Linked DNA regions of Sus scrofa. The protein of the gene in region 2 interacts with the protein of the main gene of each other region in a biochemical or structural test. Links are inferred from orthologs where the notes say so. Each region holds a gene or a part of one and is shown on either strand. Other genes may lie near its edges.

What was found.
Region 1: the proteins of RAF1 (region 2) and PEBP1 form a complex in vitro, tested with the Homo sapiens proteins (3 studies listed by BioGRID and IntAct, with this or other methods). The link is inferred for Sus scrofa from reciprocal best matches to the Homo sapiens genes RAF1 and PEBP1.
Region 3: the proteins of RAF1 (region 2) and PHB form a complex in vitro, tested with the Homo sapiens proteins (2 studies listed by BioGRID). The link is inferred for Sus scrofa from reciprocal best matches to the Homo sapiens genes RAF1 and PHB1.
Region 4: the proteins of RAF1 (region 2) and RASD2 form a complex in vitro, tested with the Homo sapiens proteins (2 studies listed by BioGRID). The link is inferred for Sus scrofa from reciprocal best matches to the Homo sapiens genes RAF1 and RASD2.
Region 5: the proteins of RAF1 (region 2) and PEBP4 form a complex in vitro, tested with the Homo sapiens proteins (2 studies listed by BioGRID). The link is inferred for Sus scrofa from reciprocal best matches to the Homo sapiens genes RAF1 and PEBP4.
Region 6: the proteins of RAF1 (region 2) and BAG1 form a complex in vitro, tested with the Homo sapiens proteins (2 studies listed by BioGRID). The link is inferred for Sus scrofa from reciprocal best matches to the Homo sapiens genes RAF1 and BAG1.
Region 7: the proteins of RAF1 (region 2) and RHEB form a complex in vitro, tested with the Homo sapiens proteins (3 studies listed by BioGRID and IntAct). The link is inferred for Sus scrofa from reciprocal best matches to the Homo sapiens genes RAF1 and RHEB.

What each region holds. Positions count from the first base shown.
Region 1 is NC_010456.5:34,527,439-34,531,634, reverse strand, and holds the start of PEBP1 (phosphatidylethanolamine-binding protein 1), read left to right. Parts: upstream 1-1,396; 5' UTR 1,397-1,574; coding exon 1,575-1,709; intron 1,710-3,180; coding exon 3,181-3,290; intron 3,291-3,936; coding exon 3,937-4,037; intron 4,038-4,196.
Region 2 is NC_010455.5:68,609,406-68,612,905, reverse strand, and holds part of RAF1 (RAF proto-oncogene serine/threonine-protein kinase), read left to right. Parts: intron 1-1,303; 5' UTR 1,304-1,329; coding exon 1,330-1,536; intron 1,537-3,500. UniProt on the Homo sapiens protein: Serine/threonine-protein kinase that acts as a regulatory link between the membrane-associated Ras GTPases and the MAPK/ERK cascade, and this critical regulatory link functions as a switch determining cell fate decisions including proliferation, differentiation, apoptosis, survival and oncogenic transformation.
Region 3 is NC_010454.4:25,596,020-25,599,693, reverse strand, and holds the end of PHB (prohibitin), read left to right. Parts: intron 1-622; coding exon 623-718; intron 719-2,071; coding exon 2,072-2,284; 3' UTR 2,285-3,174; downstream 3,175-3,674.
Region 4 is NW_018084968.1:2,087,533-2,091,548, forward strand, and holds the start of RASD2 (GTP-binding protein Rhes), read left to right. Parts: upstream 1-1,216; 5' UTR 1,217-4,016. UniProt on the Homo sapiens protein: GTPase signaling protein that binds to and hydrolyzes GTP. Regulates signaling pathways involving G-proteins-coupled receptor and heterotrimeric proteins such as GNB1, GNB2 and GNB3.
Region 5 is NC_010456.5:7,169,836-7,174,017, forward strand, and holds the start of PEBP4 (phosphatidylethanolamine-binding protein 4 precursor), read right to left. Parts: upstream 2,801-4,182; coding exon 2,670-2,800; intron 1,464-2,669; exon of another isoform or gene 1-1,463. UniProt on the Homo sapiens protein: Promotes AKT phosphorylation, suggesting a possible role in the PI3K-AKT signaling pathway.
Region 6 is NC_010452.4:33,234,098-33,237,597, forward strand, and holds part of BAG1 (BAG family molecular chaperone regulator 1), read left to right. Parts: intron 1-80; coding exon 81-194; intron 195-3,043; coding exon 3,044-3,151; intron 3,152-3,500. UniProt on the Homo sapiens protein: Co-chaperone for HSP70 and HSC70 chaperone proteins. Acts as a nucleotide-exchange factor (NEF) promoting the release of ADP from the HSP70 and HSC70 proteins thereby triggering client/substrate protein release.
Region 7 is NC_010460.4:5,813,939-5,817,438, forward strand, and holds part of RHEB (GTP-binding protein Rheb), read left to right. Parts: intron 1-1,698; coding exon 1,699-1,781; intron 1,782-2,420; coding exon 2,421-2,477; intron 2,478-2,591; coding exon 2,592-2,639; intron 2,640-3,439; coding exon 3,440-3,500. UniProt on the Homo sapiens protein: Small GTPase that acts as an allosteric activator of the canonical mTORC1 complex, an evolutionarily conserved central nutrient sensor that stimulates anabolic reactions and macromolecule biosynthesis to promote cellular biomass generation and growth.

The DNA.
Region 1 (4,196 bases), on a different chromosome or scaffold from region 2:
CAACTTTTTATTACCTGGTCAGAATTATTAAACTCAAAGGCTGTCCTAAGGTCAAATTAGATAAGGACTGGATTTAAATAGTGCCAGTCATATATAATAAAAAGAAATTGGTGGCCACAGGGAGAGCAGTTTTGAGGCAGAGTCACTTGTCAACAAAGTAGGCCTAGTAACTATGGTTTGTCAACTAAAAACAAAAAACTGCACAACATAACAACTGTAAGTTGAGTTTTATTTCGTGTCTTACTAAGGACTACTGAAGACAGAGGCTCCCTTTCAGATAGCTCTGAGGAACTGCTTGAAAGAGGTAGGGGGCCAGGATATGTACTTTTATTTTTGCGTGCGCGGGGTGGTGGTGGGGGTCTTTTTGCCATTTCTTGGGCCGTTTCCGCGGCATATGGAGGTTCCCAGGCTAGGGGTTGAATTGGAGCTGTAGCCGCCGGAGGCCTACGCCAGAGCCACAGCAACTCGGGATCCGAGCCGCGTCTGCAACCTACATCATAGCTCAAGGCAACACTGGATCCTTAACCCACTGAGCAAGGCCAGGGATTGAACCTGCAACCTCATGGTTCCTAGTCGGATTCATTAACCACTAGCCACGATGGGAACTCCTGCACATTTTTTGACTAAGGGGTACATTCAATCAAGCATCCATCTTGGTAGAAGGTTGCTACTAGTCACTGGGAGCAGATATTTCAGTTCACGAGCTTAGTGCTTTTCTAAGTATGGGAAGAGGAAAGAATCTGGATTCATAAAAAAAATTCTCCTGGAGTATATCTGAGTGTTTTGCCTTTTTCTTCCAAACCGGAGTGCCTCATTCTCTTCTTGTTTTGAATTCCATTCACGGTGTATTGTAGAATGGGGACTGCAGTGGCTAACTTCATCCTTATTGAACTGGATAGACAGGTTAAAATTTTTTCCCTCAAATAACAAATAACAACTAAAAAAGAAAAAACCACCCCATCATTTCCCAGGAATCTTGTCTGGATCCAGTGGGTGTAGGGGGATCAAATATATGTGCAAATATATTTGTTGGGGAAAAAATGCTCAAAAGTTACCTTAGGTCCTCTCCCAGTTTTCGGAAACCAGTGAGCATGCGCGAAATACAGCGCGGCTGTGCAATGACACTTGTTTTAAGAAATGCAAAAGAAAAGCAAGGCCTTACCATTTCTGCGTTTAGAAAAGTGGAGCAAAAAACCATGCAAAAAGGTTTTTAAAAAAATTAAAGATAGCTCAAATGTACATCTTGAAAAAAGAGTTCTGCAAGCTCTGGCACAGTGTTTGGGAACACCGCGGGTGGCAGGTTGCAAGCGCCTTCTTGCAAAAAGAAAGGCCAATCCTGCTGCATTGACCTGGCGCGCCGGACGATCCGGGCTCGACCAATCAGAGGGCACAATGAGGCCCACCCTTGCCAGCGACTGGAGGAGCGGGGCGGGGCGCTGCTCAAGCGCATGCGCTCCAGGGCCTCTTGACCAGCGTTGCCTCCGTCCAATTTGGAAAGCGCTTTGAGCCCAGTGCAGCTTCGCTGCGTGTTACTTCTGCTGCTCTTCCTGCACTGCGCCCCGCTCGACCCTGCGATGCCAGTGGACCTCGGCAAGTGGTCCGGGCCCTTGAGCCTGCAGGAAGTGGACGAGCGGCCACAGCACCCGCTGCAGGTCAAATACGGCGGGGCTGAGGTCGACGAGCTGGGCAAAGTGCTGACACCTACCCAGGTACCCGAGTCGGAGGGGGTACAGCTGTCTGAGGCCGGCAGGCCCTCAGGCCGGCAGAGCGGGGACCCAGCGGGTGTGAGGAGGAAGTTCCAGCTTCCGTGCGGCGGATCCACCGAGGAAAGGGGGTCGCGGTTCCCGTGCCGCAGGTTTGCGGACCTTCCGGGCCCCGGGAATCCGGCACGTGGAGGGCGGGGCACGGCCTGCAGGGGAAATGGATCTATTTTCCTGGAGATTTCGAGGAGCTGGCAGTGGCGTAGGTCTGGAGACAACCTAGATCGCTGGGGTAGGGGCGGGGAGAGAGCAGTCGCCGGCGGGAGAGGTCAGTGGCTGCCCACAAGCCCCCAGAGCCTCCCCTAGGGCCAGGGGGTTTTAGGCCTTAATTTCGGGAGTAAGAGCTCCACCCGAGGGCATATGACGCATTATGTAACCAGTATTCGGCAGTTCTCGGCGATCGTCCTTTGTTTTAGCGATCTGTGGCCTGAAGCCACCCAAAGTAAGTACGTTCCGCAGCTGGAAGGCTCGAGGGTAACCGCCTTGCTTTATTTACCGTTTGGCCTTTGACGCCCAAGGCTGAAGCGCAGCCTGATTCTGGCTGCTTCTGGAGTGGAGAATCCTGACATTGTGGCAAGCTGTTGGTCTAGAAGCTCCGAGGCAACGGTGTGAATAAACTGCTCGGGTGGTTTATTGGTTTAAATGTTTAGAATTTGTTGTTTAAATATAAAGTGTCCATCTCACAGCCTCTCTTTCCCGGACTCACTGTTCACGTCTGCCCGTCTCGGCTTTCTCATTTTCTCTGCATTTTTAAACATCCAGTTAATTCAGATTTCACTTTAGCAGGCCCTAGGAAATGTGTCAGCAATCTAAAGATCCTGTTATTTCAGGTTGTACTTGAGAGAACTCAGTATCAGGGTTTAAATCCTGACCCATCTCTTTCTGTTAATAACATGCTAGGATATTAGCCCCATAGTGTTGTCGAGACTAAAATAAATAACGTATATTAAACTTCAGCTCCTTAGTAGCGTCAGTACACTTGAGTTTTTATTAACAATTTATTCTGCTTGACCTTTGAGGAATATGAGGTCAAAAAAAGAGTATTGATTTCTTCAGCATTTCTGACTTTTAAATTTCAAATCGGGAGTTCCCGTCGTGGCGCAGTGGTTAACGAATCCGACTAGGAACCATGAGGTTGTGGGTTCGGTCCCTGCCCTTGCTCAGTGGGTTAATGATCCGGCGTTGCCATGAGCTGTGGTGTAGGTTGCAGACTCGGCTCGGATCCTGCGTTGCTGTGGCTCTGGCGTAGGCCGGTGGCTACAGCTCCGATTCAACCCCTAGCCTGGGAAGCTCCATATGCCGCGGGAGCGGCCCAAGAAATAGCAACAACAACAACAACAAAAGACAAAAAGACATAAAAAATATATATATATATATAAATACATAAATAAATAAATTTCAAATCCATTCCTTCCTACAGGTTAAGAGCAGGCCCACCAGCATTACATGGGATGGACTGAATCCAGATAAACTCTACACCTTGGTCTTGACAGACCCGGATGCTCCCAGCAGGAAGGACCCCAAATACAGGCAAGTTGGGAAAAGATGGGGAACATCAGGTCATCCACATGTGACATGGGGCTTCTTGCACCAAGTCCCTTGCTGGACATGCTGTGGTGGGAGAAATAGACTTGGTTTTGGGTGTGCATATCCATGCCTCAGCCTGAGTGTACATTTCTGTTTCTCTCCCTTTTACTCCATAGAGTGAGAGTTTAGAAACTATGGCTGAGAGCCAGATCTGCCTCAGACCTGTTTTTGTACAGCCCCACAAGCTAAGATTGACTTTAATGTTTTTAAAGGAATGGGGGAAAAATTGAAGAACAGTAATACTCTATGAATTTAAGTGAAGTTCAGATTTCAGTGTCCCTAGATTAAAGTTACAGCCGTGGTAACTTATTTATGTCCTGTCTATAGCTGCTTTCATGCTATCACTGCAAAGTTGAATAGTTGTGCTAGAGATGGTGTCTTATACAAAGCCTACAACATTTGCTGTTAGGCCCTTTATAGAAGTTTGCTGACCTCTGCCTGAGAATTGAGGGAAGGATGGAGGGCGTAGCTGGGTCCCCTTTGCTGGCACAGGAAGTTCGCGCTGGCCAAGAAGGCAGGGCCGACTGTCTTGTCTGTCACTGGGTGCTAACTTCCCGTGGTGCTGATGGTCTTCTATTCCTCCACATAGGGAATGGCACCATTTCCTGGTGGTCAACATGAAGGGCAACGACATCAGCAGTGGCACAGTCCTCTCCGATTATGTGGGCTCTGGGCCTCCCAAGGGCACAGGTCAGTAAAGGCTGCTTTTCGAGGGAGAGGGGAGGGGAGCCTGGGTGCACGTCAGGACTGGCCTGAAGTGCTGCTAAGTTTTAGCTTGGTTCTTAGAGTTTTATTCTTATATTTATGAAAGCCCTTAGCCTAGCGGAGATTTTAGGCAACTCGATTCCC
Region 2 (3,500 bases):
GACTGCAGTTTTCTTGTAGCTTGATTAAAACATGATTATTTCTTGTTAGGTGACTATCTCTGCTTGCTTCTATTTATAAGCTTTGTTTCTGCACTAAAACCAAACTGTGAATGTTATGTTGGAAGATTCATGTACTTTAAATATAAACAGAATTTGGCTCTTTTACCTATCACCTGGATGTTTTTTTTGGCAAATAGCATGGTTTTTCTGTGCCTTATTTAGGCACAGAAGTAAAATAAAGGGTGGTTGGAGAAAGGATTTAAGATCTTTTTGGGTTGTTACACAAATAAGATAATTTTTTTTTTTTTTTTTGTCTGCACCCCTGGCACATGGAAGGTCCTGGGCCAGGAATCAAACCTGTGCTGTAGCAGCAAACCAAGCTGCTTCAGTGACAATGCTGGATCCTTACTCTGCTGTGCCACAAGGGACCCCCAGATGAGATCATTTATGTATAAAGTGTCTTAATATGCATCCTAGAAATATTAGTTCCTTTTCCTTCCTCAAAGGCAGAACATTACGGCTTACGCTTTTTTTTTTTGTACTTCTCATAAGGTGTTACTAATACTCAAGGGTAGTTGCTCATACTTAATACACAGTAATCAAAGAAGAAGGGAAATGGAATTGAAAAAGTATTAGACTAGAAATTAAGAGACCTGGGCTTATGTTCCAGGTTGTCTTTTAACTTGATATATATGCTTTGGTGAGTCTTTTGATCTCTAGTCCCCATTTTGCATATTTCTGAGTTGTCTATGAAATATTTTATAGTAAAGTAAAAAGAATGTGTATGTATATGTATACTGAGTCACTTTGCTGTACAGCAGAAATGGCACAACACTGTAAATCAGCTGTACTTTAATAAAAAAGTTAAATATAGGAGTTCCTGTCATGGCAAATCAGAAACAAATCCAACTAGGAACCATGAGGTTGTGGGTTTGATCCCTGGCCTCGATCAGTGGGTTAAGGATCTGGCATTGCTGTGAGCTGTGGTGTAGGTCGCAGACATAGCTCGGATCTGGTATCGCTGTGGCTTTGGTGTAGGCTGGCGGCTACAGCTCCAATTAAACCCCTAGCTTGGGAACTTCCATATGCTGTGAGTGTTGCCCTAAAAAGACAAAAAAAAAAAAAAGTTAAATATAAAAAAGTATACTAAAGTAGAAATTTTCTGAATAATATATTTAAGCAGAAGATATTATCTATAAGAAAGCCCACATACAACTGTTTTCAAAATTACTCTATTGCATTGTTAACTACTTTTCAAAAATTATAATTGTCTTTTTTTTTTTTTTTTTTTTTTTTAAACCAGGTTTAGGTATTTTGTAAGCTGCATCAATGGAGCACATACAGGGGGCCTGGAAGACGATCAGCAATGGTTTTGGATTCAAAGACGCAGTGTTTGATGGCCCCAGCTGCATCTCCCCTACAATAGTTCAGCAGTTTGGCTATCAGCGTCGGGCATCAGATGATGGCAAACTTACGGACTCTTCTAAGACAAGCAACACTATCCGTGTTTTTTTGCCAAACAAGCAAAGAACAGTGGTACGTGAACATTCCTCTCAAAATGTAGCTATTCATTAGCCTATAGAAGACATTATGGATCATGCTGATCATCTTATAGACAGGCACAATCTGTGAATTTCTTTTAAATGGCTGTGCCTGAGACATGTGGAAAGTCCTAGGCCAGGGATTGAATCCTAGCCACAGCTCTGACCTATGCCACAACTGCAGCAAGGCCAGATCCCTTAACTCCCTGTGCCAGGCCAGGGATCAAACCTCTACCTCTGCAGTGACCCAAGTGGCTGTAGTTGGGTTCTTAACCCACTGTACCACAGCAGGAACTCCTTTTTTGTTTGTTTTTTAATATAGTTATAGTTGATTTACAATATTGGTTTAGTTTTAGGTATACAGCAGAGTGATTCAGATATATATATTTCAGATTATGTTCCATGATAGGTTGTTGCAAGACATTGAATATAATTCTCTGTGTTATACAGTAAATCCTTGTTGCTTATCTATTTTAAGAAGAGTAGTTTGTGTCTATTAATCCCATACTCCTATCCTCCTGCCTTTCCCCTTTGGTACCCATAAGTTTGTGCTTTATGTCTGTGAGTCTGTGTTTGTTTTGTATATAGACTCATTTTCATACTATTATATAATATTTGTCTTTCTTTGCTTAACTTCACTTAGAATGATATTCTCTGGGATATATATACACACACACACCCCACATCTTCTTAAGCCAGTTGTCTGTTGATGGGCACTGGGGTTGTTTCCATGTCCTGGCTATTATAAATAGTGCTGCTGTGAACATTGGGGTGCATATATTTTTGAATTAGAGTTTTCATCTTTTCTGGAAATATGGCCAGAAGTGGGATGACTGGATCATATCATAACTCTAGTTTTAGTTTTTTAAGGAACCTCCATACTGTTTTCTATAGTATATGCACCAATTTACATTCCCACAAACAGTGTAAGAGGTTCCAATTAGGGTCTTAATTAATTGGCTTTCCAGTTGCAGACTTTATTGCTTTATATTTCTTTCACATTCCTTGCTTTTTCCCACCTCTTGGCTTTCCTTCTGTTATTAGTCTTGCCTGGAATGTCTTCTTTTCTGCCATATCATCTAAACAAATAGTACATTCAAAAGATGTGTTGAAAAGCTCCCTTGGACATTTCCAGCTAATTAAAAACTTTTTTGTTCTGAATATTAAAGCACACTGTTTAAAATTTTTCATGATATTACAGTAGTATATATAGAGGAAGATAAAATTATCTAGAAAAAATTATTTTGGTAAATTTTCTAGGCCCTGGGGCAGAGCTGGCGGTAGCTTAGAAATCACAGCTCTTTTGTGGGGCACTCACTAGCCAGTTATTCCTGCATAATTTCTGGCCCTAAACCCCAACTTTTCTAAGAAATTGCTGCTCAGAAAGTTTCCTACTATCCTGGGAGGGAAAACAAAAAACAAAAACCACCAGGTTGAAACGGAAAAGTGAAGTTGTGCTAATTTTGCTTGGTGGGAGATTTGAGAAAACCTTAGTTCAAAACATCTATACCTCCTCCTTTCCCACCCTCCATTCTTTGTATAAAATCAGTGTATTGTGTTTATTCTGTGTACCTAGGCAAGGCAAGATTCCAAGGTTGGGAAGTACAGTCCAGGGTTTTCTCAGTTTTCTAACTATTGCACTCTCCTCAGTTTATTAAAACTTTCTTAAAACAAAACTTCCTTTATACTACTTTTGTGAACCTGAAGAGCCTCCTAGTCATAGTGTTGTACATTTAGGTACATTTTGAACTGAAGGCAAAACTTGAGTAAATTTGTTTTTGTTCCTTTCCTAAAAATGAAAGTTTAATGGCTGACAGAATAGATAATAATAATCCCCTTGTATTTCAACAGTAGTCTTTCATTTGCAAAGTGATTTTTACTTATATATTTTCTTATTAATTTTCTTTCAAACTTTAAGTGGGAGCCCAGGTGGAAAGTGTGCATGTGATGGGAAGCTGA
Region 3 (3,674 bases), on a different chromosome or scaffold from region 2:
ACCTTCACCCTAAGCGATATCTTTCCCTGCCTTCTCTTACTCTTCTGCCTTGACCAGAAGCACTCAGGCACAGGCAGTACCGTGGTTTGCACAGTCCCGGTTTGGAAACCTCACCCGTCCTCCTCCTGTTGCGTGGTGGAGGCGCTGTGAGGAACACGTGGACTGGTTAATCCATAAGCACCAAGCATCATGCTCTTGAATCCCTGAGAACCAGCTGCATCCCTCCCTCTCAGGGGCTCACTTTTCCATCTGGCTTCTCTGGGGGCTTCCAGCAGGCCATCAAAGGACCCTGGAAGAGCACTAGTCAGCGGTGGGGGTGCTGGAACCCCCCATGTCTCCTCCCCTAGGGAGGTGGTCAGTTGAGTGATACCTTCTGGCGCCCGTGGGCTGTTTCCCACCCGAGGGGGCAGCATGATGCACAGGGGCACTTTGGGCAGCCGCGGATTCTGGAAGTGCACTCAGGTAGGGCACGGATGTGGAGGTGGAAGGGTGTTCTGGCCTCATGATGCCTCCAGCTGCTAGAGCCATTCCTGGCCTCTTCCTCCAGCGGCCATGGGGGCCTTGCAGCAGCGCTGTCTAAGCAATTACACTGCCTGGTCTCGCGCTCACTCTCTCCCCTTAGACGCATCTGACCTTCGGCAAGGAGTTCACAGAAGCGGTGGAAGCCAAACAGGTGGCTCAGCAGGAAGCAGAGAGGGCCAGATTTGTGGTGGAAAAGGTGAGCGCTCAACCAGATGGCAGGAGCCCCTCTCCCCCTTCCTCCTGTGCTCCGCCTCCCGGTTTGCTGGGTGGCCTGGAAATTCATCATCTGTCATCTCTTCTTCCGGGACATCGGAAGGGGATTGAAGGGACTCTGCTCCTGCAATTGGTTCCAGAGTCTTTGGGGTCCAGTCAGGGATACGTGGGGTTATGTTCCTAAATCACTGAAGGGTAATTTTTTTTCCACTTCCCTAAGATCAAAAACACTCTCCCACAAATAAAGATGTTCCTTCTGGAACATTTTCAGCTTCACTGAGAAGTCGTTTTTAACCATGGTTACACAGTGAAAGCTGACAGCAGAAAGGATCAAACGTTGCGCCAGATGTACCATCATCACTGGATTTTTTTTTTTTTTTTTTTTTCCCTCAAGCACTAAATCCGTCCAGATGTGTCAGAATGGGCTGGGACACAGCATGTTTGCATGGAGCCTGGTCTTTTGGTCTTTGCAAAGATGTATTTGCTTCTTGTACCCCCTTCGCCCCCCGACTAGTCGTCTTGGGTTTATAGTCCTCATCCAAGGGGGTCCTCAGAATCAGAGAATAGAGGGGTTTATGGGTAGACGTTTAACTCCAGAGCATATCACTCCGTGTGGGTGGCGACTTCTTGCTCTCCTTCCTCTCTCCAGCACCTAGAACCTGTCCACAACCGTGCCTGGGCCTAGATGCTAAGGATCACTTGTTGAGTGAACAGTCCCAGAGCCTCCGTTTAACAGCTGTGTGTCCAAACAGCTGTGTGTCCATTGCCGAGAGGCTTGGCACTGTGCTCTCCTCCCGTCCTTCTGAAGGTCGTGCTGTGCAGGTCGATGCCATCCTGTCCCAAAGGGTAGGGAAAGCCCAGGAGAGCTCGTCCTGGTCAGGAAGCAGTTTAGCTCCTGTCTAGGGAGCGTCCCCTGTCTGTGGTCCTTCCGAGCCACGCTGGTCTTGACCGAAGTCGCTTTGACTTGGAGCTGGAGGGAAAGACGAGGGTCGGTTCCTCCTTCTTTCTCTCCTGGTTTCCTTGGCCTGGGATCCTCAGAGCAGGGGGGCTGCATTGCGTTGTTATTCGTGTTCTGGAGGACTGTGAAACAAGACAGCGGTTTCTGCAGCCACCAGAAACATGTCCCTGCAGGGCTGAGCAGTGGGCATGATGGGCGAGCGGAGGATTGGGCGGCCAGTGCTTGCCGACCCCGCCTGCAGGGGGCGGCCCATTCCCAGAGTGCCTTTCAGGGCCCAGTGAGGGCGCCTGACCGGGTGCTTTTGAGGCCGTAGCCTGCCGTCCGGCACCCCGACCTTGCTGTGACCTTGGTCTCCCTCTGCCTCTCCGCCCGCCGTAGGCTGAGCAGCAGAAGAAGGCAGCCATCATCTCCGCCGAGGGCGACTCCAAGGCGGCGGAGCTGATCGCCAACTCGCTGGCCACTGCGGGCGACGGCCTCATCGAGCTGCGCAAGCTGGAGGCCGCGGAGGACATCGCGTACCAGCTGTCACGCTCCCGGAACATCACCTACCTGCCGGCCGGCCAGTCGGTGCTCCTCCAGCTGCCGCAGTGAGGCCCGCCCCTCCCGGGGCCACTGGACCCCAGCCCCGGTGATCTCAGCCGCTCCTTCCTTCTCCCACCCCAGAAATCACTGTGAAACTTCATGATTGGCTTAAAGTGAAGGAAATAAAAGTAAAATCACTTCGGATTTCTAATTACTCTATCAGACGAAGCTCTTTCATTCCTCTCATTTCCATCCCCTCTTTTTATCCACCTCCCCACCAAAAATTGCCAAGTGCCTATGCACACCCACTTGGCTCCCGTCTCGGGGGCCTGCTGGCGCTCCCACCTAGGCACTGGCAATGGGCAGAAGAGAGGCAGGGCTGTGAGTGGGACGAGCCGGGCAGGACGCTGGTGGCCTCCAACCGATCAGTCATTCAAGACCTGAGGCCCATGCAGCTGAACTGCGAACACAGGCCTCGGTTTTTTTCCAGTGGTCCCTGCACAGAGAGGTGCTGGGGAGGGTCCGAGAGGAAGCGATCTGTCTCTCAGCATAAGGCTGATTCTCTTTAACTGGGGCCAGCGGAAGCAGGTGTGTACAACCGACGTGGACTGAAAACTCTGCCCCTGTGAAGGTGGGTGGGCCTGATGTGCTGCCCCTCAGGGTCCTAAAACTGGAGTGGACTCGGCTAGTGAAAGAGCGGCCCTGGACCGAGATGTGAGTCCTGCAGACTTCCTGTCCACCCCCCACCTTGGTGTCAAGTACCGGCGGAATTCCAGCTTGAAGGATTGCATCCTGCCGAGGCTGCACAGGCCTGCCAAAGACGTGTGCGTCCTGCGTTCCTGGCTCCCTCGTTCAGAGACTGCCCTTACAGAGGGCTCTGCGCCTGTGCCTTGAAACAACCACCAGAAGAAAACAAGTGTGTGTAAACTGCTATCAATAAATGACATCCAGACCTCCCAGCTCAGTCGTAATGGGTTTGGTGTTTTCACTTTGTTTTCTGGGTTTTTTTTTTTCTGGTGGCAGGCGGGGGCGGGGGGGGGTGGTGGTTGCTTGTTGGAATTCATGGGTTGAGGACAGAGCATTCTAGTGGTTTTTGTGTGCTGGTGTTTGTATCACCGGCGAGGATAGACTCTCCGGCAAGGCAGAAAATGCTTTGGTTTCAGAAGACACTGCTGTGTTCCAGGTCCAGCTGCAGCCGGAAATAATCGGTGGTGTCAGGTGAGGTTGGTGGCAATGTGGTTTCCTAGGGAGGTGAGGGTGGATGGAGGTTCATTTACCCGTGGCTTTTGGTGCCCCTACAAACTGAGCGTTGTAGGCCCACCACCAAACGAGAGATGGACATAAAACACCCGTGTGCTAATAAGCCCTCCATGCGCTCTGGATAGACTTTGCTTTTTTTGGCCACCCCGAGGCATATGGAGTTTCCGGGCAGGGATTAAATCTGAGCTACAGTTGCAGC
Region 4 (4,016 bases), on a different chromosome or scaffold from region 2:
GCCCGGGCACGCGGAGCGCGGGACTGCGGCGTCCTAGTGGCCGCGGGCGGGGCGGGCAGGGGCGGGGCCAGACCTTGGGACCCGCTGCCATTGGCTGAGCTCGGAGCCGGGGGCGGGGCGCCGGGCGAAGGCGGGTGAGCGGGCTCCAGCAGGCAGAGGCAGGCACAGGCGGCGGGACAGGCTGCTCGCGGGTTGCGGAGCGGGCGAGGGGGAGCCATGCGACCGGTGCACGGAGAACCGTTCGCAGGGGCGGCGGAGGGCGCCCAGGCCTAAGCTGAGCTTCTGCCACGGGACTGCTATAAGGAGCCTGGGCTCCGATCACTTTTAGGAGGGACCATTGACCTCGCCTGGCGGGAGGAAGGGGGGTGTCTGCCTCTGGGAGAGAGAAGGAGGGAGGAGCCAGAGGCCCCGAGAAAGTTCTCCTCCTCTGGGGGCCAAAGGGGTGAAGTGGGTGGAGGAACCGATTTAAGGCTAACTCGAAGCTGCGGAACCTTGGGGCGGCGTTCAAGGCCCCCTCCCACACGCGCGCGGAGCCGAACACCCTGCTCCTCCTTCAGCCGCTGGCGTCACCTCGCAGGGAGAAAGGAGCCGTCTCTGGGCGTCCGGGGACCTGCAAAGCTGAGGGCAGAGGAAGCGGCGCGGCGGAGCCGGGCAGGCACCCCCCAACCCGAGCAATCCCCTTCGGGGCGGGCGAAGCAGGTGGCATACGGGGCCAGGATAGGTTCGCTCACCCGGGATACGCACATACGCACGCACCCACAGTCACCTCCAAAGGACCCTCCCGGAGTCTCTAAGGACCCGGAGTCGCCCCTTCTGCCCTCTCCCCCCAACGCCAGAGCCCCAGGCGGGGCCCCCGGAATCGGACGTCCCCACGCCTCCGGGCACCTGGCTCAACAGGAGTCCCCCGGGTCCGGGCAGGGCAGGGCCGGCGGCGGCGAGCCGGAGCCCGCCCTGAGCCCGGGCCCCACTGAGCCCTCGGAACCCACCCATGGGACACCAGCTCCCCGTGTCCCCTCGCCCGGCCGCGCCCAGCCCTGCGCCCTGAGCCGCGCAGAGGAGGAGTCCGGCGCAGTGACCCGGGAGCCGCCGCAGACTCTGGAAGGCTCGGCGGCTGGAGAGCCAGGCGGTTCCCCGCACCTCCAGGCGCTTCCAGGCATCCCTCCCAGCCGCGCCAGAGGCCTGGCCCGCCATTCCCAGGTAGGAGAGAGACCCTCCATCAGAACTGGGAGCCTGGGGAAGCCGGGAAGCCAGGAAGAAAGGTTTGAAGCTTGGGTAGGGGAGGCCAGGTGAGGCTTTAGAGGACCAGCGAAAGTTAAAACTGTATGGGCACCTACTATGGTCCAGGGTAATCCCGCAACTTCACCTATTTAGAGAAAATGCAATTAGTGGAGTACCTACCATGTGTCAGGCTGGGTGCTTATCCCAGCAAAGAAAGACTTACTGAATTTCTTCCGTGTGCCAGGTTTGGTGCTAGAAGCTTTCCATTTAAGAGATCTGGAGCAACAGCCTGTTTGAAAATAAGGAAATTGAGGCTCAGAGAGGAACAGGCATTTCCGTCCTTTCCCCAAATATTCCCTCTCCCCTTCCCAAGCCAGCTTCAGCCTGCAAACCTGAACAAGGGTGGGGTGGGGCTGGGAGGGGGCCAGTTTGTGCCCCCTCCCCCACAGCCCAGCCTTGGCAAAGACCTCCTTTGAGAAGGGACGCTTAAGGAGTGCTTTTCCTGTCCAGAGTTCCTCGAGCTTTGGGCAAGGGTGGGGATGGGTGTTGGTGCAAGGGGTGGGTTTCCTGGGTGATCCCCTTCCCAGGAAGGCTTTCTTGTGCTCAGCTGGCCAGAGGGCCCCCAAGCACCTCTGTGGGGCTCTCTTCTCCTCTTGCCCCCGGCCCTGGCAGGATGGATGTTGCTCAGGACCTCAGGGAAGAGGGGAGGCCAGGCTGGGGTCGGGCAGCCAGCTCCGGAGCCCATGATTCAGGCTTCCCCCAGCTTCACAGAGACAAGATGGTGTCCCCCCGGATCTCTGCCTGCCCTCCAGCCCCTCCCCACCCGACAGCCCCCTGATTGCCAAGAGGAAGTGCCACAAAGAAAGGAACCTGCTTCCTGTGTGCCAGGAGCCCTGGGGGCCTCTTGACTTTTCACTGAGTTTCCAGGGCCATGCGGGGGGTTTGCTTCTAGCATTTGCTAGATGACCAGACCCAGTCATTTGCCCAGGGTTGCTGGGCGGGTGAGAGGTGGAGCGGGTCCGCTGGAAGCTGGTCCTGTCCGCTTTGACTCTGAGCTGTCAAGGGTGGTGAGATTGGCTTTTCCAAGCCCCCAGGACTCCCCTTGGTGTGGGCACGGAGGCCAGTGAATGCATATGTGTCCAGAGAGGCTGGGATGTGGGCTCTTGGAGGAGGCCCCAGGGTGTGGGGGAGGGAAGGGGGAGGGGGTCCCCACAAAGGTGGGATGCATCCAGACTCTCATCCTGCCGTCCTTGCCCCTCTGACTCCTCCATCTTCCAGATAGGCCCGCAGGTGCATTTGCTGGGAGCTGGACGGGCCAGCTTTGGGGGCGTCCTGAGCAGGGTGCCTGCCCCCAGCCGTCTGCAGCCAGAGAGAGGGGGGTGGGAATTAGAATAGGCCTCTGGGGTCATTCCCCTGCCTGACGCCAGCTGAGGCTTCACTGAGTCAGACACTGTTGTGAAAAAGACTGATTTGGGCCAGGGGGTGGGTTTTTCTAGGTAAGAGCCCAGACTGTGGAGCCAATGGCCTGATTCTAATCCTGGCTTGGCCAGTCATCTGTGTGGACTGGGGCAAGTGACTCAGCCTCTCCGACCTCCAGTGTCCCCGTCGGTCCAGTGGGTCGATGGCGGTCCCCTCTTCCTGGGACTCTTGTGAAGTCTTTGGAATAAAACACACAGAGCGCCCAGCATGATGGAAGCCTGCCTGGCTGTGGCAACTGTTCCCCCAGCGCGGCCCACCCCATCTCTGCTCCAGGCTCTTCTGCCCCCCCTCCCCACGTGCCTTCAGAATGACCCTGGGGCGAGGTCAGCTGAGCGTCACAGAACTTGCATCCGCGGACCTGTGCTGCTAGTGGTCCCCATGACCCACTCTCTGGGCCTCCCGGGCAGGGGACTCTACACTCTTGAAAAGCCCTTTGAGCTCTCACCCCTGCCTGTTCCTCATTGTGCAGGGTCAGCTTGGCTGTGGATGGAGAGAGGGGAGCAGGCAGTGAAGGAGGAGAGAAGCTGGGCCCACAGTGCTGCCCACAGTGCCTCCTCTGGGAGAGAAGACGGGAAGAAAGATGCCCTCCACCCCCCCCCCCCAGGGGGGCAGGCGGCAGAGCTCATGGAGGTGTTGTCACCTGATGTCCAGGTGTCTGGGTGCTTCACACAGCCCCACATGGCTGGGGCCCTGTGAAGAGTCACAGTCTTCTCTCAGAGAGGAAAGCCACAGATTTATCCCCCCCTTCCTTGCCCTTTTCTGGCCCTGTCCCTTTTCTCCCTGCCTCCTCTCTCTGACCCCCTGCCTCCTCCCTTTGACCCCCTGCCTCCTCTCTCTGACCCCCTGCCTCCTCCCTCTGACCCCCTGCCTCCTCCCTCTGACCCTCTGCCTCCTCTCTCTGACCCCCTGCCTCCTCCCTCTGACCCCCTGCTTCCTCTCTCTACTTCCTCAGGTCCATGGAGTTGCTGATGTTAGCACGTCTGTACCAGGAGCTCTGGGCTAGAGGCTGGAGCAGGTGGTGATGGAGATGCATGGTCCCTGGGGGCCGCTGGCCTCCTTCCCTCTTTCTGTAGATGGAGGTGACCACCAGCAGAGTCATGCTCCCCGCAGAGGGACTTGGGGAGGGGACTGTCCTGGCGTGGGGCCTCTTTCCCGCTGCCTCCATTGAAGGTCCAGTCTGGTTGCCCAGACCGGGAGGAGACTAAAAAAAATTCAGTGCTGTTGGCTCATAGCCCCCTATCTCCACTGCCCACCCAGCACAACCCCTGGGTCAGCTAGAAAGCCCCAGAAGAAAGTTTTGAAAGAGCTCCAAAAGGTAG
Region 5 (4,182 bases), on a different chromosome or scaffold from region 2:
GTTTCTTCAGAGCAATATGCCAACGTGTGTGTTGCAGACATGTGGAGTAACCAGGCACTGAATCTTGGGTGTTTGGTCCTAGGTTTCTTACCTTCTTTGTTCAGGGGCTTTCTCACTGCATACTGATGGACATCATCTTCCTTAGACTGCAAAGTCTGTGGATTCTGCTAGACCTTCTCGGTCCCAGGCGACGAGGGTCGGTGAGAGTCGGTGAGTCCAGGAACATCCTTCTCCCCTTTCCTTATGAGGACAAAATTGAGAATACTCGGATTGGCATGCAACCCTGAACAGATGTGCGCTTTCTTTCTCCAGTCCTCTGTGGTAACGGGAATGCCCTTACTCAGCAGCAGGAGGATGTGGCCATGGGTCAAAACACCCTGCTTCATGGGGAAACCTTGTTTGTTGTTCCCACCACTGATCCAGACCACATAACCCTCCGTTCTTCACCTAGAACGTCAGCAGCAACTTCTGTGGCCATACCTTTCTCATAAAAGGTAAGAAGTTTGGGTTCATCGTCTACGTCAATGAGTTTCTTGCAGCCAGTGGCAGGGAAAGAGACGTTCAGCTTCATCCTGAAGTGGCCGACCGCCTTCGAGGCACCACACAAAAGAGCTGCTGTTGTTTTCTAAGGAGCCCTTAGATATACGGATAATTCGTATGTTGAAATCCAAGCCCCCAAAATGATGGACTGAGGAAGTGGGGCTGCTGGTGCTGAGGTCCTGAGGGTGGAGCCCTCTTGAATGGCATTAGTGCCCTTTTAAATGAGGTCCCAGAGAACTCTCGCCTCTTCGACCACGTGAGGACACAGCAAGGAGACCACCAACCATGAATCAGAAAGTAAGTTCTCGCCAGGCACAGAATCTGCCAGCGCCTTGATCTTGGACTTGTTAGGTGTGTGAACACTATGGGCAGGTTATTTAATCTCTGGGGATTCCTCAGCTGCAAAACAAGGATTAACACCTACTTGGTGGGTTCCTGACAACAATGAAATAGTTCAAGGAGTCTAAATCACCAACAGAACTCCTGGCAGGTACCAGGTGCCGCAGAGCTTCCCCATGTGCCACAGCACCCAGGCCACCATAGTGCCGGCATGTGGATGTTGGCAGGGCTGAGCCTAGGGCAGCTGGGATGCTGGCTGGTCCCTCCAGTGACCATACACATGTGACCGTGTTCTCTGTGTTCCACAGTGAACATGGGGAGCACAAGAGGCACTCCATGATGGGGCCCTAATCACGGCCTGGCCTGGCCTTGCCCTGGCCCCACTGTCCTAGCTCAAGGACCTGTCCACTCCCGGGAAGCACAGCACCCGCTCACATGTGAGGGGCAGTCATTCCCTCCCTCCCCCACACAAAACTTTACCCAGGACTGTTTCACCAGATTTAAAAAGTGTACAGATAGGAGTTCCCTGGTGGCTCAGTGGGTTAAGGATCCAGAGTTGTCACTGTAGCAGCCCAGGTCACTGCTGTGGCATGGGTTCTATCCCTGGCCTGGGGACTTCCACATGTCATAGGCGTGGCCAAAAAATGTAATCGATAGGAGCAAAATTTGTGTTTTTTTTCTTTTTGGATCCAACTGCCTAACTTTTTTTTTTCTTTTTTCTTTTGTCTTTTTAGGGCCACACCCGCAGCTATGGAGGTTCCCAGGCTAGGGGTCCAATCGGAGCTGTAACAGCTGGCCGACATCACAGCAACAGCAACATGGGATCCAACCTGTGTCTGCAACCTACACCACAGCTCAAGCAATGCCAGATCCTTAACCCACTGAGCGAGGCCAGGGATCAAACCTGAAATTTCATGGTTCCTAGTCGGGTTGGTTAACCACCAAGCCACAACGGGAACTCCCGCCTAAAATTTTAAGGGAAAACATATTTCTCTTTCTAAAAGTAGTGTTTGTAAGAATTCAAATGCACTCAGAGAGACAGAGTAGGAAGTGAGAGTCCTTGCTCCCAGCCTCACTTCTGATGGCCTCAGAGGGATGCCAGCATACTCGGTCACCAAGCTGGTAGAGGAGGTTGCCAGCAGCATGGCTGGGGCAGCCCTGAGGATGACCATGTGTCCAGGACGATGAAGACTGGCTTTTCTGACCCGCAGGCAGGAGAGAGCCGAACTGATGAAAAGGGAGAGAAGCTTGCGCCCTTGGAAGAGACAAAGCCAGGCCTCGAGACCCAGACTTCCCTGAACAATGTCCATTGGCCACGCTCCCTAACAGGCCCACCTGTCCCGACGCCCCTAGAGCCTTGTTAGGGAACAGGAAACATAGGGAGGGTCCAATCACACACCCTCGGTCAAATAAATGCCACTTTCCTTTAAAATGCCACCTTGCTGGGGGACAGGAGGCGTTCCATGCTGGAGGAAATGATGGTCTCTTTCGGGTGCCAACACAGAGGGTGAGGCCACAGCCCCACAGGGCCCCTCGGGTTTGGAGGCCCGGGGGAGCGGACCAGATCTGCATACCCTCCTAGCCCCGAGAACCGCCCTTGGACAGCAGGGGCCTGAAAGGGTCTGAGTCCTTTCCTTGCTGTCATGTTCCGTCAGAATGGCCCCAGAGCTGCCTTATGTTCTGCCTTCCACAGAGGCTGCCTTGGGAGGCAGTGCCCCCTTGGTTCTGGAAGCACCCCCTCTTCGAGCCTCTAGCGCGGCTCTTGGGAGTGGGGGGCCACCCAGTCTTACTTGCAGAGCACAGCGTCGCTGTCAGACAAGGCCTCGTACACACATGGGTCACTGTCCTCTTCATCTCCGGGGACCGCCATCGTGAGGCCCAGGAACAGGGCTGCCGTAGCCAGCCTCATGGTCCAGCCCATGGGCACCTGGAACGGAAGGAACTTCAGTGCCACCAGGCCCGCCGCAGGGGGTGCTCTGCCCACCCCAGAGCCCCTGCCCCAGGGGCCCACCTGATCAGAACCCTCTGCTCAGTAGGGAGAAGTGCAAGGGAGAAGTTCCGGCCAGGCTGGGCTCCAGCAGCTAATCCGTACCCGGACACAAGAACCTTGGGCGGACCTGGGCCTCTTCCCAGCTGGACTCAATTTTCAGTCCTGGCTGAGGCCCCTCCTCCACGGAGCAGAGCTGTGCTGTCACTCTGCCTGCCGCCCGCCTGGGCGCAGAGCAGGCTGCAGCACAGGAGGGCTTATATAAGCCTCTTACACAGCCCCCCCTCACCCTGCCCCTCCCGAGTTACCCCTGTGCAATCAGTTGAGCCTCCTCCTTTGACTTTAAAGCAAACTCTGGGAGGCTGGTGACCCCAGGCTTCGGGTTCTGGGGGTGCTCATGACGGCCCCACCTTGCAGGGTTTTCTAGGAGCAGGCATGAGGCTGGGGTGCGCCCTTTGCACCAGCTCTGCTTCTCCCACCCACAGCTCCTCTGCCACCTGTCTTGAGAGCCTCGGGGCTGTCGGATGGTGGTCACGGTTGGACACGGTGACCCTGCGGAGGAGGGGCTGCTGCACAGGGGAGGAGGAGGGGAGGGCCACCAGGCCCTGAGGCCAGCTCTGAAGGGCCAGCTGAGGACAGAAGGGTGTGCCCGGCTGTACCTTGCACTGGTGCTGAACTCAGCACTCTCCCAAAATAATAGTCCCTGGAGAAGAAGGCCAGCAGAGCTGCTCAGGAAGGGGGAAGCTTGCACAACTCACTGCACTAGGAGGAAGGGGGGCCTAGGGCTGCGTTGAACACTTGCCTGGGACCCCTGGGTGGCCTTCGTTCCCTCAGGGAACAGGCCTGCAGGCAGGAGGGTGTGGGACTCTGATTGGAACCAGAGAGGCAGGGGGAAGATCAAAGGCAGTTCCTCCACCACAGGGGAAGGGGGAGGGGACCTCAGACACCAGTTTCTGCATTGAGCTCCACTACTTGGCTGGGGGAGGGGGGGGGTGTTGTCTCACACCTCTTCAGGATGCACCACGTCTTGTAAAAACAAATAAAATGATCCTGTCGCCCTTGTGCGGGCGAAGGAAGATGAGGGTAGGTCTAGAGTACATGCAGCTAGATCTTCAGAGAAACATTTCAGCAGAGCTTGCTTTTCAGTTGAATTCCTGCTTCCAGGACCCCAACTTGCAGCAAAAGCCCTTCTTTGGGGCAACAGACCAAACACATTTCTCAATAATCATACTCCCTGAAGTATGACAAAGGCTCCCCACCCCCATCATTCCCAAGGTCCCTCCTACTGGACAGTGTCTCCTAGCAGCCGACCCACA
Region 6 (3,500 bases), on a different chromosome or scaffold from region 2:
GCCTGGAAACCTCCCTATGCCGAGGGTGCGGCCCTAAAAAGACAAAAACAACAACAATAATAATAATTTACATATTTTAGAACAGTTCAGAAGAAGAAGTAGAACTAAAAAAGCTGAAAGATTTGGAGAGATCTGTGGAGAAGATAGCTCACCAACTGGAAGAGTTGAATAAAGAGCTTACTGGAATCCAGCAGGTAAATCTGTCTGTGGACTTTGACTTTCTTCCTTTTATGTGAACTCTCTAGAGATACAAATGTGTGGTTACAAGGATGCCTTTGTTGTCCAACTCCCTGGATTCAGATCTTGGCTCTACCGTTTCTGTTACAGTGGGCAAGTTCGCCTTTGTCTCATGTTCCTCCTCTGTAAAAAGGGAGTATTGATGGTACCTCCCTCTTAGGGTTGTTATAAGGATTAAATAACATAGTTTGAGCCTCTGACTAAGTGCTTTATAAGTGTTATTATTATTATTATTTCCAAACCCCAGCCAGCATCCATTTGTGCTCCTGGCAGAACACCTGCTGTGCTAGGTTCATGCATTGCCTGAAATAGAATAAGTAGCTTCTCTCAGTTGATTCAAAGAAGGTCCAAGTTGAGCATGATCTTGTGGTGGTGTGGTGGGGTCATCCTATTCAATTCCCCTAATATTAGAGGTGGAGTAATGAAACCAAATAAGGATTAGGAACAGGCCCAAACCACATACGTATTTTTGACCCCTTCATTTTATAACATTAATGGATATATATGTGTTTTCATTACAAAATTCATATATGCTGATTGTACCTTACTTTTAAATAGACATATGTATACTAGAATGGAAAATAATATTACCTTTAAGACCTAACTCAAAGATGACTGTTACTAAAAACTGGAATCTATTTTTCCAGTTAAAAAAAAAATTGGTGTCATGTTAGGAACCCTTTAAATTCCTTTTATTCATTTAAAAAATTGAACTTTTTCTTATGTTATTAAAAATGATCATACTTAACCCAATCATTTTGCTGTACACCTGAAACTAACACATTATTGATTAACTATACTTCAATAAAGAAAAAAAAAGTCTTAACTGGAAAAAAGTGATCACACTTTTCAAAATTTGCATATTTCATATTATGTCATATGAATGTATCATGGTTTACCTAACCACTTCTCTATTACTTACCACCCAGTATTCTTTTACCATTATGTGCAATCATCCTTAGACATAAATCTTTTTTGACCATTTCTTTATTTTTTTATTATTTTATTTTATTTTTTGTCTTTTCTAGGGCTGCACCCACAGCATATGGAGGTTCCCAGGCTAGGGGTCTAATTGGAGCTGTAGCCCCCCGCCCTACACCAGAGCTATAGCAACGCGGGATCCAAGCTGCGTCTGTGACCTATACCACAGCTCACGGCAATGCTGGATCCTTAACCCACTGAGCAAGGCCAGGGATCAAACCTTACCTCATGGTTCATAGCAGGATTTGTTAACCACTGAGCCACAATGGGAACTCCTTTTTTGATCATTTCTGAATTTTTTTTTTTTTTCCTTCTTTTTAGGGCTGCACCTGAAGCATATGGAGGTTCCCAGGCTAGGGGTCCAATCAGAGTTGTAGCCGCTGGCCTATACCACAACCACAGCAATGCAGGATCCAAGCTGTGTCTGTGACCTATACCACAGTTCATGGCAATGCTGGATCCTCAACCCACTGGGCAAAGTCAGGGATCGAACCCACAACCTCATGGTTCCTAGTCAGATTCGTTTCCCCTATACCACAATGGTAGCTCCTGACCATTTCTGATTTTTTGGAACTTCCACATGCTGTAAGCACAGCCCCCAAAAAAGTTGGAGTTCTGATTGCAGCGCAACAGAAACAAATCTGACTAGTGTCCATGAGGATGCAGGTTCGATCCTTGGCTTTGCTCAGTGGGTTAAAGATCCAGCGTTGCCATGAGCTATAGTGTGTGTCACAGATGTGGCTTGGATCCCATGTTACTGTGGCTGTGGCATAGGCCAGCAGCTGCAGCTCTTATTCGACCACTAGCCTGGGAACCTCCATATGCCGTGAGTGTGGCCCTAAAAAAAATAAAGTTCTACATGTATTTTTCTTTATCCTCACAGTAACCCTCTGGGGTGTGGGCATCATGATCTCCACTTTATTTATTTTCCAGGAAACTTTTTTTTTAATTATTATTTTTTTTCCATTATAGCTGGTTTACAGTGCTCTGTCAATTTTCTACTATACAGCAAGGTGACCCAGTCACACACATATACATTCCTTTTTCTCACATTATCATGCTCCATCATAAGTGACTAGATTTATTTCCCAGTGCTATACAGCAGAATCTCATTGCTTATGATCTCCATTTTAAAATGAGAACACTGAGGCACAGACTGGCTAAGGAACTTGCTCGAAATCACAGGCCATGCTGAGGAGTAGTCAGGATTAAAGCCCAGGCCTGTCAAACTCTAAACCCTGTGTTTTGTTTGTTTGTTTGTTTGTTTGCTTTTTAGGGCCATACCTGTGGCATATGGAAGTTCCCAGGGTAGGGTTGAATTGGAGCTGCAGCTACCAGCCTATGCCACAGCCACAGCAATGCCAGACCTGAGCCCCATCTGTGACCTATACCACACCTCACAGCAATGCCAGATCCTTAACCCACTTGGAGCCGGGGATCGAACCTGAATCTTCATGGGTACTAGTCAGGTTCTTAACCCACTGAGCCATAACGGGAACTCCATAAACCCTATGCTTTTAACATCTGCCTCTTCTGTGTGGGCCTCTTGTATATGAGTATACACTGGTGACAGGGGCTTTGCCAGAGCCAGGCATCCTGGGGCATTTGCAGCCTCAGTGTGCCACGTCAGATAGAATGGCCAGCAGCCTATTGGCAGTGTTTGGGGTGGCTCAGGGCTAGCTTCTCTGTTTTTCCCAAGAGGTGAAGTTGTGGGCCTGACGTCTGGCCCAGCCTGTTGGGGAGTGTGGACTGGGCTGTGGCTGCTTGGCTTAGCGTTTTCACCAGCCTCAGAGAACCCTTGCAGTGATGTGTCATTCTTCCACAGGGTTTTCTGGCCAAGGATTTGCAAGCAGAAGCTCTCTGCAAACTTGATAGGAGAATAAAAGCCACCATCGAGCAGTTTATGAAGATCTTGGAGGAGATTGACACACTGGTAAGTAAATATTCCACAGAGAAGTTCTAGCTTCCTTTGACTCTATCTCAGTCAGTTCCTTTCTTTCAGTATCTCACTCATTGCCTAAGTATATTGAGCACCTACTGTGTGCCGGACACTGCTAGGTCTTATTCTGTGAATAAGCAGAAAGCTAAGATGGTTCCTGATTTCTCATGTCCCACCAAAGTAGGGCTTTTGTCATTTTTATTTATGTGTGCTAGTAGCTTCTAATCCTCAAGAAGCTGGGACCCAAATGGTCCATGATCTCATGGTCAGACCAGGAATTTCAGTTCAGTGAAATTTATTGTAGGTTGAAAAGAAATCAGCATACAGGAGTTCCCGTTGTGGT
Region 7 (3,500 bases), on a different chromosome or scaffold from region 2:
CAATTGCTGTTTTTTTCTCAGAAAGCATACTTTTTATCAGGATTATATTATATGTGTGTATTGATTTAGGATTAATTAATGGATACCCCCTATGACTCTGCGTATTCTTGCTGGAAACTGCGTGCAGGACACTCGTCCGCTGATTTAAGTCTTTTCTTTCTTGGGCGTATTTTAAGATTATCTTCAGATGGATCATCTACTTTTATTTTCTTAGGTTTATTCCTAGGAGTTTTGTTCTTTTGGTTGTTGTTACAGTTGAGGGTCTTTTTCCTCCATTTTACTTTCTAACTAGTTGTATTTTACACTGTGCCTCTTTTTTGTTTTGTTTTGTTTTGTTTTGTTTAGGGCTGCACCTGCAGCATATGGAAGTTCCCAGGCCGGGGGTCCAATCAGAGCTGGAGCTGCCAGCCTACGCCATGGCAACGCCAGATTCGAGCCGCATCTGCAGCCTACACCACAACTCACGGCAACACCGGATCCTTAACCCACTGAGTGAGGCCAGGGATCGAACCCGTAACCTCATGGTTCCTAGTCGGATTTGTTAACCACTGAGCCACGACTGGAACTCCTGGAATTTTGTTATTTAATCTGGGTGAAAATATGTCATTCTGTTAAGGCTTTGTTTTTCATCATCAACACTTAAATGAATTCAGCTTAATGAAAGTTGTACTAGTACTGAAACCAAAAGTTTTAGTTTGCATGTGTAGTAAGATCTGTGATGTTGAAATGCTGTCATCTCGTTAATAATGTATAATAGCAAAGCTGATAGTAAAAGCTTTTCTTTGATTTTTTTTTTTTTTTTTTTTTTTTTTGTAAGATACTTAGGGCAGCGATTCCGAGTCAGCATAACCATACTGGAATTGCAGAGTTAACAGGGACGGTTACATGATGGTGGTGGCTTTGCCGTAATTTTTCTCTAATAGCACTTGGGATGTGTGGTATGTTAACAGTTATGTTTCAGCTGAGGGTGAAATGTGTGTACCACACAGGGGCACTCTTGAATACTGAGTTGACATTAGAAATTTCTATATGCTGTAATAATTCTGTATCTAAAGCAGCGGGGTTTTTCATAAAGCTGTATAAAACTGGTACTCATATGCTGTTGCATCATAGATACCTTTCTTTTTAATCCCTAAAGTTGCTCAATAAATAGTTGGTTTGATCCTAAGAAGCCTGAGTCTACTGCCTGAGTCTAGTGTCTTGTTTCTCTTCTCTCCTCCTCTTCAAATGCTCGTGGCAACCCAACAGTGACTGGGGCTAGGCCCTCATGGCTCAGTGCAGGAAATACAGATTGATGGACCAAACCCGGAGCACTCGTGCATCTCCTGTGAGGGCTAAGAGACACTGGACTGTCGCCTGTAAGAGATGTGATGGTGCTTTTCCCTTGGTCCAAGACCACGGAGCCTGTGGTCTTGTCATCCCTCCGTCCCTCCAGGAGCTACTACGGACAGTAGCCTTCCCTCCGGAGTCTGAGACTAGCCAGAGTCACTCTCTGTACTGGCTTAAAGCCTGCGATTGCCCCCACACCAGTCTTTAATCAATCTTGGGTGTATGGGCTGTGTTTCTAAAGAAGGTATTAATCTACTTTTTGTTTGCTTTGAGTTCTCTGATGAGGTGACATGTGAGAAACTTGGGGCAAAGGGTACTGGTTATGCTCTGTGAACACTCTGCTCACATGTGATCGTGTTTCTTCCGCAGGATGAATATTCCATCTTCCCTCAGACATACTCCATAGATATTAACGGTTATATCCTCGTGTATTCTGTTACATCAATCAAAAGGTAAGACTCCCTTCTCCTGCTTGCCTGAGTGTGCTTGCTGGGCATAGATAGCATCAGCCCTCCAAGGGATGACGCTGTCCTTGCTGGTACCTACGGCTGGACTTGCATGATTTCGAGGGGTTGTCTTGTGGAGCAAGCAGGTCGTTACGGGGAAAAACGATCCCAGAAGGTGTTCTCACACTGACGGCAGGAAACCTCTGCCTCTTGCCTCAGGCTGCCTAGATAGGTAATGATTGAACACCATCTGAGCTTGGCTGCTCATTGAAATGGAAAACGCACTAATTGATTTACTCTGGGTCTGTTTTCACCATGTCAGTGTGGAGCACAGACCGCGTGTGCGTAGAGCCTTCGCGTTTAGGAACGGTCCACAAATGCTTATTCAGAGATTCAGTCAGCCTAGACTTTCCTATTTGAATATCGCCCCTGCTCCACTTGGAGTAGTGTCAGTAAGGGTACTGAGTGTCGAATACACACACGAGGGAAAGAGTGGTGAGAGACCGTAAAGGAATTGCTTGTGTTCGGTTTATAGGAAAACAGTGAGTCTGACAGCTTCAGTTTTTCCCACTATACACATGACATAACAAACGCTTTAAAGCATCACTAAAATGAATGTCTAATTTCATGCTTTTTGTTTTATAGTTTTGAAGTGATTAAAGTCATCCATGGCAAATTGTTGGACATGGTGGGGAAAGTGCAGTAAGTAATAATGGTTTCGCTCTTTTGATAGATGTACTCAGAACAGTATCTCGGGAACAATCAAATCAGGCACTGATCTGTGTCCTTTGGCTTTTTTTCCCCTTGTATTAATAGAATACCTATTATGTTGGTCGGGAATAAGAAAGACCTACATATGGAAAGGTATGTAGCTTCTAAATAATTACTGATTTATAAAGTCAGGTCTAAGATGACTTAGTCACTGAAGTTCCATTTTTAATTATTGTTCTTAAAGCAAGAATATTTTTAGTGGTAGCATATCTGTGTTTGGGGGTTCAGAAATGGGGCGGTGTTTGTGCGGAGCAGAAGCAGAACTTCAGTGAAGATCTCACGCACCTTGGAAAGGGTTTCCTCTAAAAAAGAGCAAGCACGATAGGACAGTTGTCTTTGGATTCTTATTCTTGTACCATTTTGCATAACGCAGATTCTAAAAAGACAATGGTAGCACTCATTTTATTCAACAGATAGTTTCGGAGAGTGCCAGGCTTAGGGCTCAGAGCGATGGACCAGGAGCCAGGGGCCCCATTCCCTGGAGCCGAGCATCTCGGGAGGAAGAGAGCCGCTGGCCGAGTGCCCACAGCCCGTGCACAGCAGGGCTCAGCTGTGGCCCTTTCAGAGATGCCCGTCTCTGGGTGCTCACAGCCTCGCTGACCATGAAAGAGTCAATTGTGACGGGTACCAGAGTGCCCGGGTCCTGTTCCCCGAACTTCCAGAGCTCTTGCTGGAGCGCAGGGAACCCCGTGGGGCGGCGTCTGCTCTGTTCCCCAGCTCAGGGGTAACGGAACCGCTCCTCTGCCCTACGTCCTGCAGGATAGCCTTGAGCAGAGCTTGCTTCTGCTTCCTAAGAAACTGGCGAAAGTGGAGCCTGTGTCCCAAGTCAAGTCACAGGTGTTTGATGTAATAAAGAGCCGAGTCCTTGAAGTGAGATGTTCTCCTTCCTTTAGGGTGATCAGTTATGAAGAAGGGAAAGCATTAGCAGAATCTTGGAATGCAGCTTTTTTGGAA